Lepisosteus oculatus: one gene and its partners. The protein of the gene in region 1 purifies or fractionates together with the protein of each later gene. This does not show direct contact. Links are inferred from orthologs where the notes say so. Each region holds a gene or a part of one and is shown in the gene's direction. Other genes may lie near its edges.

Evidence for each region. Proteins that work in one complex are often made in the same cells at the same time.
Region 2: the proteins of polr3b (region 1) and polr3c fractionate together in Homo sapiens (co-fractionation; 4 studies listed by BioGRID and IntAct, with this or other methods). This does not show direct contact. The link is inferred for Lepisosteus oculatus from reciprocal best matches to the Homo sapiens genes POLR3B and POLR3C.
Region 3: the proteins of polr3b (region 1) and polr3e purify together in Homo sapiens (affinity purification with mass spectrometry; 8 studies listed by BioGRID and IntAct, counting the BioPlex papers as one, with this or other methods). This does not show direct contact. The link is inferred for Lepisosteus oculatus from reciprocal best matches to the Homo sapiens genes POLR3B and POLR3E.

What each region holds. Positions count from the first base shown.
Region 1 is NC_090702.1:53,629,036-53,632,781, reverse strand, and holds the start of polr3b (DNA-directed RNA polymerase III subunit RPC2), read left to right. Parts: upstream 1-1,087; 5' UTR 1,088-1,188; coding exon 1,189-1,260; intron 1,261-1,899; coding exon 1,900-1,932; intron 1,933-2,560; coding exon 2,561-2,617; intron 2,618-2,720; coding exon 2,721-2,785; intron 2,786-3,715; coding exon 3,716-3,746. UniProt on the Homo sapiens protein: Catalytic core component of RNA polymerase III (Pol III), a DNA-dependent RNA polymerase which synthesizes small non-coding RNAs using the four ribonucleoside triphosphates as substrates.
Region 2 is NC_090722.1:7,226,150-7,229,895, reverse strand, and holds the start of polr3c (DNA-directed RNA polymerase III subunit RPC3), read left to right. Parts: upstream 1-1,117; coding exon 1,118-1,252; intron 1,253-1,520; coding exon 1,521-1,715; intron 1,716-2,679; coding exon 2,680-2,932; intron 2,933-3,408; coding exon 3,409-3,588; intron 3,589-3,746. Other genes in the region: rnf115a (E3 ubiquitin-protein ligase RNF115), read right to left, coding at 1,027-1,104. UniProt on the Homo sapiens protein: DNA-dependent RNA polymerase catalyzes the transcription of DNA into RNA using the four ribonucleoside triphosphates as substrates.
Region 3 is NC_090714.1:16,621,870-16,625,615, forward strand, and holds the start of polr3e (DNA-directed RNA polymerase III subunit RPC5), read left to right. Parts: upstream 1-912; 5' UTR 913-1,095; intron 1,096-1,861; 5' UTR 1,862-1,924; coding exon 1,925-1,960; intron 1,961-2,660; exon of another isoform or gene 2,661-2,662; coding exon 2,663-2,713; intron 2,714-3,124; coding exon 3,125-3,202; intron 3,203-3,374; coding exon 3,375-3,490; intron 3,491-3,746. UniProt on the Homo sapiens protein: DNA-dependent RNA polymerase catalyzes the transcription of DNA into RNA using the four ribonucleoside triphosphates as substrates.

The sequences.
Region 1 (3,746 bases):
AAGCTCCAGTTGATATAACAAACTTCAGCCATTTCTGACACAAATTGTTACCATGGTAATGGGGGGAGGTCACCTGTGTTTGGACCTTGAGCACTTTGAATGGCCATTCTTGTCTTTCCTTTGGTCTTGTACCAAAAGAAGTCTGTGCAGAAGGAAATCAGTTAACCCTTTTTTCACATCTTATATCTTTCTACAAGTAGAAGCTGTTCTTAAGCCTAGTGGCCAGTTCTTTAAGGTTTTGGTTCATCCTGAGAGAGAGAGAGAGAGAAACAATGCACTGAAAAATAAAAATGACATATTGATTTTGTCACTGTATGGCTTGTTTAAGAAATGTGAAAAACGTGATTTAAAAATGTATTTGGTGAAGTTTTATTCTTTGTAACCTGAAAAAGTAGATTTCCATCCATCTGTTTTCTAAACCACTTTATCCAGCACAGGGTCACAGGAGAGCTGGAGCCTCACCAGGCCCAGTTTTTTTTTTACAGAAGCCAATTAACCTACTGTACCAGTAGTCTTTGGACTGTGGGGGGAAACCCACACAAACATGGGGCAACATACAACATCTGCACAGATACAGTAGCCCAGGTCCACAGTCGAAACCCGGGCTTTCACACTGCAGCAATGCTAACTACTGCACCACCACGCCACCCAAGTCCATTTCATCCACTCGAATTGCCAGTTAAGACCCACGGTGATTGAGCTCAAACATGAGATTGCTTTGTACACATGAGTTTTTTTAATTAAATGTTGTGAAGTAAATTTAAAATGCTATTTATTGTACTGACAAATAATCAAAACGTATGGGGCACGATTAAAGGTTACAAACGAGGGAGTGGTTTGGAAATTGTACAACACTCATACTTCTTTCTGACTTCTCGAATTGTTTTCGAATATACAAGAAAAATAACGCGGCTTATAAAGTGATAAGTGTTTAAATTTCAATTTCTGAATTCTGTAGGAAAAGTGAAGGGTGCAGAGGTTAAATTAATTTTCGTTTATTTTCGGAACATATCAGAACGGAATGTGGGAGCAGAACCACGGTCCACCTCTTTGTTTCCACACGTTGCCATTTATTTGGGACATCGCATGCACGTGTGGGTTTGTTCTTCCGCTTGCCGATGTCGCCGGATTGGAAATGTGATTCTTGTTTCATGAAGTCTGGCTGTTTGTTTTGAGTGTGAGAAAATTATGGATGCCCTCATTGATGAGTATGGGGGCATGACTCCCCAAGAACTCGCAGCCCCCGTTAATACCATAGAGGTAGGGAATAAGTATCGCAGCAGTTGAAATATAAGTGATGCATATTAGTAATTACTGTGTTGCAATGTGCATACAATTTGCTTAAACCATGTATTCGTCTGTAAAGAAAACTGTGTTAGCGTAACAAGGAAGCAAACGTCAGGGAAAATGTTTTGATTATAGATTGTTTTTTAATAATCTGGTGCCTCCTTTGTAAGGGCTAGAGGTTTTTAAAATGTATTAAGTGGGTGATTTGTATGAAAATGCAAGCCATTCAGAATTTGATCGTGTGAACTAAGCTGATCAAGAATATAGTGTTGTTTGGAAAAAAACGTTCATTCGGTTGTAATGCTGTGCATTGGAACTTGTTTAACTCCTTCTGTTACATTGTACAGTATAGGCAGTTCAGGTACAATCTTGTTTGTAGTCAACGTTCAGACGCTTTACACTGCAGTGTATGATTAAATTATACTGTTACTGTTCTCAAAAGATTACATGTCGAATTTTGTCTTTCTCTGTCTTCTGATAATCTCTTTATAAAAGGGGCAAATCTGCTATATACAATATGCAAGACGCAGTAGGTCATTGTGTGCTGTCATTTTACTTTCTAATGCTGTGATCTAGTGGGACAGCTTTAATATTTTGTACTTTCCCTTTTAGGAGAAATGGAAGTTACTACCGGCCTTTCTAAAGGTATTGTGAATTCTCTATTGGCAACTTGTGTTACTGATGAAAAAATTAAACAGGTGTAGTTGTACCGCGGGACACCAAATCTACCAACCAGGCCAATATAATATTTATTGCTATTAACTTTTTAATAGCAACAATTCTGACTCTTTTTTTTGGACCCATTTGGACACATTTTTGGAATCTGACATTCTGGACATTAACCCCAGCTGCAAGAGCTGAGGTGCACTGTTGTTGAGACAGAATGTTAAAGAGCTGCTCGTTTGAAGCTGGCTAAGTGGTCTGTTTGAGAAATGGAGGTGGGAGGTCAGGACTTCTGGTATCCAAGACCTTCTTATTAGTATGGTGTGTAAGAGTAAGGGTATACATTTCCTTCAGTCACCCTCATATATACTAAACTCCACTGCTTTCCTAGTGTATGAAGTCTTGTTGCCAGTTCACATGATGTTATACAGCAAAGGCTGCTAACTCGTATGTCGACTTTCAGAAGGCATCAGCACCAGGGTGACAGTATGTGATCCTTTTGAAATGTGCCTGTTGTGCCTTATTTTCCAGTTCTGTTGTTCCATTGTCGACTAAGAATTCTAAATATCCTCCCCTGTGTATCTTAATTTTCTTTCTCTTCTTTTTTTAGGTGAAAGGACTGGTGAAACAGCATATTGACTCATTCAATTATTTTATTAATGTAGAGGTAAGACATTGCATGCATACATGCTCTTATGCCCTGTTTTTTGTTTTTGTTTTTGTTTTGTGGCACTTGTGTTTGAGATTAACTTGGCGATTGCTGTTTCCAGATAAAGAAAATCATGAAAGCCAATGAAAAGATTACAAGTGATGCTGATCCCATGTGGTATTTGAAGTGAGTATGTGTATTTACACTCTGCTGGGCAAACAAATATCAGTGGAGAATAGATACTGAGCATGTGTTAATGTCACCCAATGTGTTGTGAGTCCTCGTTCAGTTGGTCAGTTGGGAACTGAACAGTCTTTAACACAAGTGAAGCTACTTTACCATAGTTTGTTCAATTATAAGAGGCGGAGCGGTGGCTCTGTGGCTCAGGATCTGCGCCTGTGACTGGAAGGTTGCCGGTTCGTATCCCGCGGCCAGCAGAGGAATCCTACTGCATTGGGCCCCTGAGCAAGGCCCTTAACCTCAACTGTTCCAGGGGTGCCGTATAAATGGCTGACCCTGCGCTCTGACCCCCACCTTCTCTCTTCCTGTCTGTGTGCTTTTGTGTCTCTTGGAGAGCAAGCTGGGGTATGCAAAAAGACAAATTCCTAATACAAGAAATTGTATATGGCCAGTAAAGTGATCTTAAACTATGAACTGTAATACAGATCAACTGTTCTGCATTTTTATAAGATAAACTACGTCTTAGGCCAAAATGCTATATATTTAGGAAGACATTCTGACATTAGGAGACATTCTGTCTCGATGTCCATGGAAATATCTAAGATGTTCAGGATTTCATCCTTCACCTTTCTGCTCATGACTTCCAGTCTATCTGGCTATCTGATTTCAACACTGGGCTTGTTCTGTCCTTGGTTACAGCACAGTCTGATTTCAGCCCTCAGTCTGGTCTCGCAATTTGTTTTACTGGTCAGCTTGATGAAAAAAGTAATTTTCTTGTGTCTGGGTAAACAAAAATCACATGGGGTTCATTAGAAAACCTGTTTTATTTTCCTTAGTGGGTATCTGTCTTGCTATTTAGTGTCCAGGAATTTAACATGATGTTTGATGTTTGCTGTGTCAGAGATTTAGATGACAAGAGCGCATGTTCTGTTCCAGATACCTCAATATTTATGTTGGAATGCCTGAT
Region 2 (3,746 bases), on another chromosome or scaffold:
GCACTGACAGGACGACTGTGGTTTCCTGACTGTAGATACCGCGCACTGACAGGACGGCTGTGGTTACCTGTATAGTTACCGCGCACTGACAGGACGGCTGTAGTTACCTGACTGTAGATACCGCACACTGACAGGACGACTGTGGTTTCCTGACTGTAGATACCGCACACTGACAGGACGACTGTGGTTTCCTGACTGTAGATACCGCACACTGACAGGACGACTGTGGTTTCCTGACTGTAGATACCGCACACTGACAGGACGACTGTAGTTACCTGACTGTAGATACCGCACACTGACAGGACGACTGTGGTTTCCTGACTGTAGATACCGCGCACTGACAGGACGGCTGTGGTTACCTGTATAGTTACCGCGCACTGACAGGACGGCTGTAGTTACCTGACTGTAGATACCGCACACTGACAGGACGACTGTGGTTTCCTGACTGTAGATACCGCGCACCGACAGGACGGCTGTAGTTACCTGTATAGTTACCGCGCACTGACAGGCTTTTGTTATCTAAACAGCAGCAGGTCGTCTCGACGGTACTTGAAGTCTCCACATCAGGTCCCAGACTGATTCCAGCACCGGAACGCGTTTCCCCAGACTGACAAGGTCCGAACCCACTCCCAGACTGGGCTGTCTATGACCCCTGTCCTCCAGCCGAGAGCCGTGACAGCTCAGTCCCAGCTGCGGACTCCCGCAACCCCTGCGACGGACGCCGCTCGCCGCTGACCCCCGAAGATGACTGACAACAGCCCGGCGGGTCTCTTCCCCTGCCCTCGAACAAACCCCCGAAATATGAGATGCACACCGACACCCGCGGGAGCGGATCAATAAATAAAATCCGAAACATTCCCTCCCCCCTTCCGCCCCCCACCAGCTAAAGCCAAACAAGGCCTGTAAACAAACTCGGAGTGTCAAGCACAGCCCCGGGCTCGAGTGCGCACCGCTCACCGCAAAAGGCGCGCCTCCGCCCGGCCTGTCTCAATCAGAGCAAAGTCGGTGGGAACCGGGACTACTCACCGGCAGCTTGGGGTTCACCTCCCCCTTACAGCAGTGACAGAAGAAACGATGTTGGGGAACAGCCGCAGCCTCCGCCATCTTCCACTGGAATATGGCACAAACAGTGACGTCGGTCCTCCAGCTCACGGAAGGAGGCGGTCCGCCACCGGCCCTGAATGCCTCTTGCGGGACTAGACCGAGATTTCATCCCCCGAGAAGACCGATCACAACCGGAAAAAGCCGAAGGGTAAAGGCCGGAAGTGTGTGGGAAGGGAGGGACTAGATTCGCCATCTTTGTGCGGGGCAAGGCAATAGCGGAAGTAGATGGCGCACACGTGTCTTGTCGAGGGAAATGGGAACGATATAAACAAGGCAGAAAGAGTTATATGCTGGGCAAATGCCGGTTAAATAAAAGTCATTGTGCTTAAGTGGTTTTGGAAAGAACCCCTTCTTTGTAAAGCAGCAGGGTGAGTCTTGAGGAGTGGGATTCTGGAATCAGCGCTTTACATCTGTAGGCGCCAGCGGTTGCAGGTCTGTCCCGGCTGGGACGTGTTTCTGTGCAGATGACGGCGCAGGAGGTGCGGCTGTGCGCGCTGCTGCTGCAAGAGCACTTCGGCGAGGTGGTGGAGAAAGTGGGGACGTTCCTGCTGAAGGGGGGTGAGCAGACCCTGAGGGCCATCGCCACGGGGACCGGGACCCCCCTGCACCTGGTAACGCGCTCTCTGACCCTTTACCTGCCCCTGAGTCTCATGGTGTGTCCTGACTTCTCTGGTCCACTCCTCCCGCTCAACCCCTTTACCCTCTCCCATCCTCTCTCTCCCTCCTCTCCCCTCTCTCCTCTCAATTCAATTCAAGGTGCTTTATTAACGTGACCGATGGGTACAATCAGTTTTGCCAAAGCAAATAAAAATAAAATTAACATGGAACAAAACAAAAAATAAAATCTACAAAGAAATTATAAAATATGTACATATACTGTAAACATATTGAGCAGATCACATACTGGGCTGCCAGTTCAACTGAGTTCCCTCCTCCCTCTCCCAGTAGGATTGGGACCCGTTGTGATTCTGGCAGGTGTGGGAACTGTGGGACTAGATTTCTGTATTTCTGGAAGAATGTTTCTCTAATCCCAGAGTATCTGTCACAGTGCAGTAGGAAGTGCACCTCTGTCTCTATTTCTCCCCGCTGGCAGTGGGAGCACAGCCTGTCTTCCCTGGACAGCCAGGTCTGCCTGTGTCCAGGCTGTGGTCACTGAGCCTGTCCTCTCTGGACAGCCAGGTCTGCCTGTGTCCAGTGTCTCTGTCCAGGCTGTGGTCACTGAGCCTGTCCTCTCTGGACAGCCAGGTCTGCCTGTGTCCAGTGTCTCTGTCCAGGCTGTGGTCAGTGAGCCTGTCCTCTCTGGACAGCCAGGTCTGCCTGTGTCCAGTGTCTGTGTCCAGGCTGTGGTCACTGAGCCTGTCCTCTCTGGACAGCCAGGTCTGCCTGTGTCCAGTGTCTCTGTCCAGGCTGTGGTCAGTGAGCCTGTCCTCTCTGGACAGCCAGGTCTGCCTGTGTCCAGTGTCTGTGTCCAGGCTGTGGTCACTGAGCCTGTCCTCTCTGGACAGCCAGGTCTGCCTGTGTCCAGTGGTCTTGTCTTGGTCCGACATGGGGCTAGTGTGTTCCTCTCCCCCCCAGGTGAAGAAGTGCCTGTGTGTGCTGCTGCAGCAGGGCCTGTGTGAGTTCGGGCCGGGCCGGCGGGGGGTGGAGTACAGGCTGCCGGAGCCGCGCGTGTTGGGCCTGCTGCGCTTCCCTCGCTACATCTACACGGCCAAGACGCTGTATGGCGACGCAGCGGAGCTGCTGGTGGAGGAGCTGCTGCAGCACGGCCACATGACCATGAGCCAGGCCGTGCGGACAGTGGCTGACCGGCTGACCGACAGCATGGAGGGTGAGAGGAGGGCCTGTCTGTCTGTCAGCACCTCGAGGGTCAAAGAGTCTGCCTGCCTGTCTGTCTGTCAGCACCCCGAGTGACAAAGAGTCTGCCTGCCTGTCTGTCTGTCAGCACCCCGAGCGACAAAGAGCCTGTCTGCCTGCCTGTCTGTCAGCACCCCGAGCGTCAAAGAGCCTGTCTGCCTGCCTGTCTGTCAGCACCCCGAGCGTCAAAGAGCCTGTCTGCCTGCCTGTCTGTCAGCACCCCGAGCGTCAAAGAGCCTGTCTGCCTGTCTGCCTGTCTGCCTGTCTGCCTGTCTGCCTGTCTGCCTGTCTGCCTGTCTGCCTGTCTGCCAGCACTTCGAGGGTCAAAGAGTCTGCCTGTCTGTCTGTCAGCACCCTGAGCTCCCAATAGTTGTTCGGTCGATGCTGTAAGTTGGGGTGGCTGCGAATGTGGGGGTGTCCCTGACCCTCTGTGCGGCTGTGTGGTTACAGAGGGAAAGAGCATGGAGTACAGCGAGGTGACCAGCGTCTTCTCTCGCCTGGTGGAGACGCACTTCCTGCAGCGCTGCCCCCCAGTGGCAGAGCGCAGCGGCGACAGCGCGGCCTGCCCGGCCCCCACCCTGGCTGATGGCGACAAGGAGAGGTACACCCTGCCCCACATCACCCTGACAGGTAGCCCTGCGCCTGGGGCTGGGGGGGGGGGCAGGCTGGGCTGACCGGCCCCCCTGTCTGTCTGTCTGTCTGTCTGTGTGGGGCTGGGGGCTGGCTGGGCTGACCGGCCCCCCTGTCTGTCTGTCTGTCTGTCTGTCTGTCTGTCTGAGTGGGGGCAG
Region 3 (3,746 bases), on another chromosome or scaffold:
AGTTCTAAACAGGAAACGGAAACTTGTTCTGAAGCTCTTATTCTGAGTGGGCGGGGCTGCCTGTACCCCGCCCACACAGTTTTCTGCGGTTACTGAATGTGATATCTTAGATTGACACTTCCCTTTAACAGAAATACCATAATTTATTTTACAAAGAAACTAATTTAATGCAAAGTTATCAAATGAATACAACAGCGGCGCTCTGCGGTGCAAAGTCTCATATTCAGAATTCAGCAAAAAAAAAAATGTTCTTTAAACAATGAAATGCACAGTGAAAATTATTTCATATAATTGTAAAATAAATACCGGATTAATTTTATTTTAAGAAAAGCCGGCACATTTTTCGTAACTGACATCGCTTCTACGGCGTAATCATCCTTTTTTTTAAAGAAAACTGAACGCATCAAGCTAATTACGTTCCTAAAACTAATTGCCCCTTCAGTACGTATTAAAACGTAAATACAGTGTACAGTCGGCTATGAAAGCAGATCCTTGCGTTTTTCCTGCAAGCGCATATGTAACAACAGCGATTGAAACACGTCTCCCATTTCCACGGTGTAGAAATGCTATAACATCACATCTTTACAAAAAAAAAGTATTTTTGTAATTGCAGAGCAGCAGAGCAGAGGGTTGTGACTTCACTGCGATACCGAGGGGTGAGCCCGCAGAGGTAGCGTGGCCGAGCGGTCTAAGGCGCTGGATTAAGGCTCCAGTCTCTTCGGGGGCGTGGGTTCGAATCCCACCGCTGCCAGGCACAGGCTTTTTTTGTTACGCCTGCCTGCGCTGCGCCCGCCCAAGCGCTTTCCGCGGCTACTGCCTGCAGCGCCTCCTGCTGGCTCCAGACGGCATGTGAGCCAGCGAGAGCGCCCTCTGCTGTCCGGAGCACGACAGTGCCCCCCCCGCCGCTGTCTCACGGCATTGTGGGAAGGGACCCTGAGCTCCTCCCCACGTGTCTGGGAAGCTGCAACATGGCAGCCGCCTGAACTCGCAGCCGCCGCAGAGGAAACACACCGGGCTGGGGTACAGGGGCCACCCGCCGTGAGCTGCCTGCCTGAAGGGAGACCACTCGCCGGGGGACTGTCTGTGTCCGTGCAGGTGAGGCGGCCAGCTCCGGACGGTCCGGTCTGTTCGAACGACGGACGGGAAGAACCGTGGCACTTTTTGTCCATCGTGGGCCTTTTAAAAATAATAAAAGGCGTTTCATCTCTTCCGCGGCACGACAGAAGAGGCGTTCGGGAGGAGACGTTTCGGTCTTGTGAGCGAAACTCGTTGCCCCCGCTGCGCCATCTCACGGGCTGTAACGAAACTTGAATGACCCGGCTGTCGAAATATTGGAGCGGCCGAGATAACTTTCTGTCTCACAAACGCCTGAACGTGACACGGACGGCAGGGGAGACGGATCACTCGCCACCGAGCGTGTTGTTGTGTACGGGGCTCGCTAGCTGTGATAGCGGTCTGGGTGTGAATTGCGACCCGTTGCATCATGTTTGTTTAAGAGCCCAGAGTCGGAGGACGCGACTGGGCATGCGCTGTCTGTGGTCCAGAGTGTTGTGACTTGGCGAATCTGGCTTGGCACCCTAAAATCGTTCGTGAACGGGTGTGTGCGGGTCTCAAGTTGAGGGCGATACCTCAGCGTTGTGGGTATTATGTGCATTAACAGTCTTGCAAAAGACCGGGTGCTGAATGTGACCTGTCCAGCAAACCCGGTTCTAAAGCAAGGTGTGTTCCAGAATCTAAGGTGTGCTCAGTGAGACAACACCTGCCTCGGCTGTCTCACTGCGGGCGCAGGCGGCAGGCTGTCTTCCAGTGCAGGGGGACAGTGGTTTGTGTGCTGCAGTGACGGGCTCTCTCTCTTCCCCAGGTGTGGGCACTGAGCCAGCCCCTCCACCCCTCCAGAGCACAGCTGCCAGTCCCAGCCCTCGCCATGGCCAGTGAGGATGACGACCCCATCGTACAAGAGGTAGGCGCCCCACAGCTCACCGGCCAGCCATGCAGTGGGATTAGGGAGCTGTCTCCACCTGTAGGTTTGGGGTGTAATGTAACCGAGCGCAGACTCAGGGCGAAACCCTCCCAAGCCTGGACACAGCGATGACGGAGTGACGCAGTTTTAGGTATAAGAACAAGAGGAGAGCTGCTGACTAGAGCCCATCTTGGCTAGTGCATTGCTAGTCTTTTTGTGTTCCTAACAGCTGGAGCTAGTAGCTTATTTCTCCAAGGATCCTCTTCCTCACTTCCCTGAATGATCCCAGGGAATCTGCTCAACAGCATGACTGGGAACGTTCTTCCAGGGCCCCACAGCACATGAAGAAGAGCCCTGTGGTACCCCCTCTGTTTCCACTCGTGCCTGTGTTGATCTTGTATCGCTGCGGGCCCTGATGTAGTCCTCTGGGGCGGCTTTGTCAGTGCCTTCCAGAATTTCACACACTTTTAATACTCCCAAGAGCTGGTGAAGTTTCCAGTTAAAGTGCTGTGCAAGTCGAAGCTTTGAAATTAAGAAAATCACGACGGGTATAAGGATTTGAAGGGATGCCGGACACAGATCAGAAGTGTAGTGTTTTGTGACGCGTGCATGATGTGATTGTTCCTGTGCTGTGTGACTGAAGATCAGAGTCTACTCTGTGCCTGCTGGTTTCAGCCCAGTCTGCCCTGTTTGTTTCCTCAGATTGATGTTTATCTGGCCAAAAGCCTTGCTGACAAGCTCTACTTATTCCAGGTAAGCAAGACCATGGGAACGAACCAGCTGCAGTAACTCGGCCTGTTATGAGCACTTACATTCGATTAACAGACTAGACACACTCGTGTAAACGTTGTTTTAACTTGACCTAGTTTGCAGAACACTCACCAAGTAGTCAGTGTTTCTTGTCAGATGTTTTCAAGTTAAGAATGTTGTGTCATGGGCTGTGGAAGTCTAACTGGTTGAGGTTTTCAGTTAGCTTCAGTGTCTCTAGTGGAGCTGCTGTGAGTTTCCAGGCTTGGCCGTGCAGGGGTGAGTAGGCTGAAGCCTAGGGAGGGGCTTTCTCTGTGTGTTAGTTCGCAGAGCTCGGGGGACAGCCATGCTGATTCAGCAGAGGCGAGTGGGCCGCAGGTGATCCATTTCCTGACTGTTGCGTTTATTTTCCATCAGTATCCAGTGCGCCCTGCTACAATGACCTACGATGACGTTGCTCATTTATCTGCAAAAATCAAGCCCAAACAGCAGAAGGTAAGAAGGAATCTGAGCTTGTTAAATGGCTGGTTCCTGAATAAAGGCTGTGAGCTGTGGTCAGACTGGTTTTGTAGCAGCTAGCCGTTGCCAGACGGGTAGTCCCGGGGAGATGCACCGGGGAGTCGTTTGTGTCGTCGGTGACGGTCACGGCCGTGTCTCACCTGCGCAGGTGGAGCTGGTGATGGCGATGGACACGCTCAGCCCCAACTACTGCCGCAGCAAAGGGGAGCAGATCGCCCTGAACGTGGACGGCACCACCTCCGAGGACTCCAACACCTACTCCACGTAAGGCCCGGTCCTGACCCAGAGGAGCCAGGTCCGTGTGGCCACGTGTGTAGTCTTGTGCGCCGGGCTCTGTGGTCTCCAGGCTGCAGACAGAGAGGGGCTCACAGGGTTGTAGTCAATCCCCTGGGTTAACAAGGTGGTTTTGAGTGCCTGTGACTAAGCTGGCTTTTGCGAGTGGAGGCAGTGTTGCTGTGTGTGTGTGTGTGTGTGTGTGTGTGTAAGGTTGTCCTGGTGGCTGAATACAGCACTTCTTCTC